2 linked regions of the Daphnia pulex genome follow. The protein of the gene in region 1 purifies or fractionates together with the protein of each later gene. This does not show direct contact. Links are inferred from orthologs where the notes say so. Each region holds a gene or a part of one and is shown in the gene's direction. Other genes may lie near its edges. The genes, in order: E3 ubiquitin-protein ligase NEDD4-like and lipopolysaccharide-induced tumor necrosis factor-alpha factor homolog.

Region 1 (3,006 bases):
AGATGAAGCGCTGGGACCTCTTCCGGAAGGATGGGAAGAAAGAATCCATAATGATGGCAGAATCTTCTACATTGATCATAGTAAGTTGGCATTTTCCGTCAGGTGGTACTCGTACAGCTGACGCTTAATGCATTCTTGACATGCAGATACACGAATTACCCAATGGGAAGACCCCCGTATGTCGAACCCTAATATTGCTGGACCGGCTGTTCCTTACTCACGTGACTATAAAAGGAAGTACGACTTCTTCAAGTCGCAACTTAAGAAACCAGTAATATATTAAATGCCTACAATCTATTGTTGATTGCGTTCTTAGGTTTAATTGTTTTTTTGTTTTTTCCGCTTGTTACAGGCCAACATTCCAAACAAGTTTGAAATTAAAGTTCATCGAGCCTCTATACTGGAAGATTCGTATCGAATTATCAACACTGTCGCCCGACCGGAGCTGCTCAAGACGAAACTTTGGGTAGAATTTGACGGTGAAGTCGGACTCGATTACGGCGGTGTTGCTCGTGAATGGTTCTTTCTTCTCTCTAAAGAAATGTTCAACCCATACTACGGCCTGTTTGAATATTCTGCTATGTAAGTCTCCAATTTAAATTGCTTGCAACTTCAACTTATTCATTTACTTTTGCCTACAGGGACAATTACACGCTGCAAATCAACCCAATGTCTGGATTGTGTACCGAAGACCATCTGTCTTATTTCAAATTCATCGGTCGAGTTGCTGGCATGGCAGTTTATCACGGCAAATTGCTTGACGGCTTTTTCATTCGCCCATTTTATAAAATGATGTTGGAAAAGCCCATCGAACTGAAAGATATGGAGTCTGTCGATACTGAGTACTTCAACTCTCTTGTTTGGATCAAAGAGAACGATCCAAGCGAGTTGGATTTAAATTTTGCTGTCGACGAAGAAAGCTTTGGCAAAACAATCCAGCGCGAGCTGAAGCCTAACGGGACCAACATTCCTGTCACCAATGACAATAAACATGAATACATCAAGTAAGTTTATTTAAGTTAAATTATTTGTTCCAGCGATGATCTACCAATGTTTTGCTCTCTAGTTTGGTGATCCAATGGAGGTTCGTGTCCCGCGTTGAAGCTCAGATGCGTGCCTTCCTCGACGGTTTCAAGGACTTGATTCCTTTGTCGATGCTCAAGATCTTCGATGAAAATGAGCTCGAATTATTGATGTGTGGTATTGGTACCATTGATGTCAAAGATTGGAGAGAACACACCAATTACAAGGGGGATTACAATGCCAACCACATGGTAGTGCAATGGTTTTGGAGGGTAAGTCTCGTCTTTTCTTGAAGTTGTTTTATCGACATCGTCGAAACCTCAATTCGAATATTTCTCCTTTTTTTAGGTGGTTTTATCGTTCAATCCCGAAATGCGTTCTCGAGTCTTGCAGTTTGTTACGGGGACATCACGTGTTCCCATGAATGGATTCAAAGAGCTGTACGGCAGCAATGGCCCACAGCCGTTTACCATCGAGAAATGGGGCACGCCAAATAACTTCCCCCGTGCTCACACTTGGTAAGTTGCATTTTTCATTCCTTTGCGAAACGAAAGACCGTGCAAGATTTTTGACGATGGATTCTGTTTTCCTGTTGTCAATAGTTTCAATCGTTTGGACTTGCCACCTTACGAGAGTTACCAACAGCTAAGAGATAAACTGATCAAAGCCATCGAAGGATCTGAGGGCTTCGCCGGCGTAGATTAAACGTGCCGATAATCTTTAAAAAAAAAAGATTTCTTGTTTGCGTGTGTTTTTCCTGTAGAGATTTCTCTTCTTTCTTATCATTCTTATTCTCTTTCCCTACCACTGTAAGTTGTGTAAGATCATTCATTCCACCAACGGTGCGTGTCGTATAATCGATTTCTGTCTTATGCCTCGAAAACGATCCTCTTTGTTCACGATGCCTATGGAGACGCCGTGTACTCTCTTTATTTACCTTCCCTTTTTCTCCCCTTCCTTGGGTAGTGTACAGTTGGTATATTTCTCTCTATCTTTCTCTTTAACTCTTACTTTTAAACTATGGAAAACATTTGTTACTCCGACATGGCCTGGATCATTTGTCATGAACAGGGTGCTGATGGAGTTTGATTTCGGGGGGTTCGACTTTTGCCATTTCTTGCATCACTTGAGGAAAGTGTAGATGAAGGTGGAAGCAATTTCATTGCGTTTTTCTACTTCCCATTCGACCCATATTCGGTAAAATCGTTGCAATATTATTAACCAACACCATAACATCATCTATTCTTTTCCCCGTCGCGTCGATTTAATCCCGACAATTGCCTGCGTGTTTTGTGTTACAATTTTTTCTCGTTTGTCGCGACTATTCTACACAGTGTGATACATATTATTATACAGTCTATACCCTCTTCTTTAATTATTAATTTTTTTTTCTTTTTTTTTAAAATAACTTCTTTCCCGGTCAACGAAAAAAAAATTATTTGTCTCTTTAAATCCAACGATTTTTTTTTTTTTTTGCCCAAAAAAAAGTTTTACCATTTATTTTTTTGCAGCAATAACATCCCTTTCCTCCTTTGTGTGTCAGTGAAAACAAAAACCTTCCCAAATTCAATACATGAGAGCTATTTACTCAATACGTAATGGCACTCGCTCCATTTTCTTTCGACTCCTCCCAAATTTGTTGATTAAAAAAAGTGCTTTGATGTAGAACTAGATAATTACCGGAACGGGTGTTGGATTCGACATCATAAAATGTTTTTTTGCCCGTTTATAAAATGCATATGGTGTAAAACCATATGGTGGCGGATTGCATTACTGTCCGTGCATAAACGACGAGTTGTGGATTTTTTTTTTCTCTTTTTTTAAAAACTGTTTAAACGTTTTTAATTTCGCTGATTCATTCAAACCCAGCAATGCGGAATAATAGCCACCATGATCGTGATGAATAATCAAATGTCTGTTGTTCCTTCATTTTGTGGCTCTTTGCACCATGTGTTCTATTATGAATTGCAGGTAAATTGTTTT
Region 2 (2,728 bases), on another chromosome or scaffold:
ACAAAACATCATTGTAAACACACAATACTTCACATTAAAGTTATTTGTCAGACCTTCATGGGAAGTTTACATTTAATCACAGTATCTTCTTCTGGATCAGCGTGAACAGTATTTTCACTTATGTGCGTGTAGTCAAGAAAAAAAGGTAGGTGAAAATTGAAAGCTGAATAGGCAGATTTGGAAGCATTGACGGTCTTCAGAGTTAATCCATTTTCCATTGGTGAAATGTGCAATTCATCACCTATCTTAGCCAATGAGTGTATGGCTCGCGCCAAAACTAAAGAATAAAAGAAAGTGTTTTAGCTTTCAACTGCTTTAGTACAATCAAATGAAACATCATGTCGTACCCTTAACACTGGTTGCATCCAAAAGACATTTCATTTTTCTTTACTTCAATGTAAATTTAGTTGTTTGCACTAAAAAAAAATTCGAAATGCCGCCAGAAATTATATCGGTAACCCCATGTCCCGGATAACACGTTTAGAATGTTTAGCACGCAGACGACACGGAAATGAATTTTTTCAAGTATGCCCCGATTGGCTGTTGAGATTTTATCTTCACTGAAGATGTAAACAAATGAAACAAGTGACGAGCGTGACTCGTATTATTTCGGCCACATCTGCAAGTCACTGAAACTTGATTGTACTTTTAACCATAGATAAAGAAGACGGTCTTATCTGCTGAGGTACTTCAAGGAAATTTTTTTTCCCCTTGATTTATCAATGGTTTTCAATTATAACATTCTGAAACATTGGAAGACTTTCAATTACATCAGCTTTTCCGCTGTCCAATTCCTGCTGATTACATTCTGAAAAGTCATGGGGCGGAGCTTAAGAACAGCTGTGTAGTGTTAACTAGAGCACAGAGTGTAAACGTTTGTGAATAACTTACTTGTACTGCATGACTTTCTAAGGTAATAACAAATAAAATTTAAACTCTTTCATGATTCAGAATACAAAACATTGAAGTTAATGTTGGTCTGATATTCTGATTACCAATTTACCAATAATTCATTGGATTCTCCATAAACTATTTCACAGATGAGTAAACAAGGTCCTCCTCCAGCTGCCCCTCCTTCTTACATGGAAGCAGTGGGTGGTGTTAATCCATCAAGCCCCTTTACTCCTCATCAAAGTAAAGCATTTTTTTAGTATTTTAACTTTTAATGGGAAATGTGCCTCACATTCAAAATCACAATGTTTATCTCTTTTAATAGATGTAACCAACCAGCAGCCTATTATTGTGACAACCGTGATACCTGTTGGACCCGGAACAACACACACTGTTAGTTTTTCCCTCCACAGTTAATTATATATTTTATTTTCTCTATCTTCTTTCTTTACAGGTCTGTCCACATTGCCATGCTGAAATTGACACTTCTGTGCGTACTGAACCTGGTCTGATTGCCTGGCTTTCTGGAGGTCTTTTAGTTCTATTTGGGTATTACACAGTCAGCAATTTCTTAAGAGTTACACATTGATATAACACATATATTTTTATTACCAGATGTTGGTTGGGCTGTTGCCTTATCCCCTGCTGTATTCCTGAGTGCATGAATGTTCATCATGCTTGTCCAAATTGCAAAGCATACTTGGGGAGATACAGCCACTTTTAAGCTAATGTTCTTACTATGAAGAGGCAATTGGTTCTTTCTGTGTGTTAAATTTCATATTCATTTTTGGCAAATTTGGTTGTTGCATCTTGTATGCCAAAATTTACCTTTTTCCTAATTACACGAAGCTTTTCAATTTCAAAATTTCAAACAATAGAAATGCTGAACGTTGTATTATTCGTACCTTGCTTCAATATCTACTCCGCTTACTTATTAAAATCAAAGATACGCCGTGTTAATTTTATCACCAAAATTTATCAATGAATAAACTTCGAATATATTAAAATTGTCGTTTGTAATTTAAATTTTAAATTCATTGAAAAACGTTTTGTTCGACTGGGACAAAAAACCTATATTCCTTTTCTTAACTGAATTTTTTTAAATTAATTTGAATCTTGCAGTGCCGTAGTTTATTAATTATTTTTATGCTGCTCGTTAAATATATAGAAAATGTTATTCCTATGGAAAAAAGTTAAAAAAGAACCAAAACGATGCTTATTAAATGTTTCCCGCTATTTCATAGATACAAACAACATGGTTTTGGGGATTAACCTACCCATTAATAGAAGCGCAGTAAGAAACAAATGACAGGAAATGGTTGGATTTCTATCAAAGTATTTAATTATCATGACAGAAATAATCTTACAATATAAACAAAACGTAACTTTTATACATCCAAATCGCTTAATTTTCTAAAGTCCGTTTTTGTATCTCTCAGTGTTAGTTCTTGGCCAAGCCGAGTAATCGATTGCGACATCATATTCTGGCATCTAAAACAGAAAATAATTTATTTCGACCTAGACAAAGAGTTTTTTTTTTAAATAACGCAGACATACTCCTCCATGATTCCAATTTGCATAGCAGTAGTTCCGTTTAGATCAGAAATTACGCTTGCGGCTTTAATAAACTCATCAAACTTTTCCACCTGAATGTTATCGGATAGAGTTGTGCTGTTCTTAAAAACTTTGATCAATTCATCTGTTTCTTCTTTTTTAAATTCATTGATATCAATTAGACGAATCTGATGGCGATAGATGTCCAAACCATCTGCTAGCTCTTTAACTTTAGGGGTTACAGTACTTAGTGCATCTGAATACAAATGCAAACCAAGATTCA

The links.
Region 2: the proteins of E3 ubiquitin-protein ligase NEDD4-like (region 1) and lipopolysaccharide-induced tumor necrosis factor-alpha factor homolog purify together in Homo sapiens (affinity purification with western blotting; 3 studies listed by BioGRID and IntAct, counting the BioPlex papers as one, with this or other methods). This does not show direct contact. The link is inferred for Daphnia pulex from reciprocal best matches to the Homo sapiens genes NEDD4L and LITAF.

What each region holds. Positions count from the first base shown.
Region 1 is NC_060022.1:1,845,416-1,848,421, forward strand, and holds the end of E3 ubiquitin-protein ligase NEDD4-like, read left to right. Parts: coding exon 1-80; intron 81-146; coding exon 147-271; intron 272-352; coding exon 353-582; intron 583-641; coding exon 642-1,004; intron 1,005-1,066; coding exon 1,067-1,295; intron 1,296-1,371; coding exon 1,372-1,541; intron 1,542-1,625; coding exon 1,626-1,728; 3' UTR 1,729-2,383; downstream 2,384-3,006. UniProt on the Homo sapiens protein: E3 ubiquitin-protein ligase that mediates the polyubiquitination of lysine and cysteine residues on target proteins and is thereby implicated in the regulation of various signaling pathways including autophagy, innate immunity or DNA repair.
Region 2 is NC_060026.1:14,698,404-14,701,131, reverse strand, and holds lipopolysaccharide-induced tumor necrosis factor-alpha factor homolog, read left to right. Parts: upstream 1-765; 5' UTR 766-913; intron 914-1,040; coding exon 1,041-1,134; intron 1,135-1,216; coding exon 1,217-1,284; intron 1,285-1,345; coding exon 1,346-1,440; intron 1,441-1,506; coding exon 1,507-1,615; 3' UTR 1,616-1,898; downstream 1,899-2,728. Other genes in the region: cell cycle checkpoint control protein RAD9A-like, read right to left, coding at 54-277, 348-381; uncharacterized protein LOC124203995, read right to left, coding at 2,280-2,382, 2,449-2,701.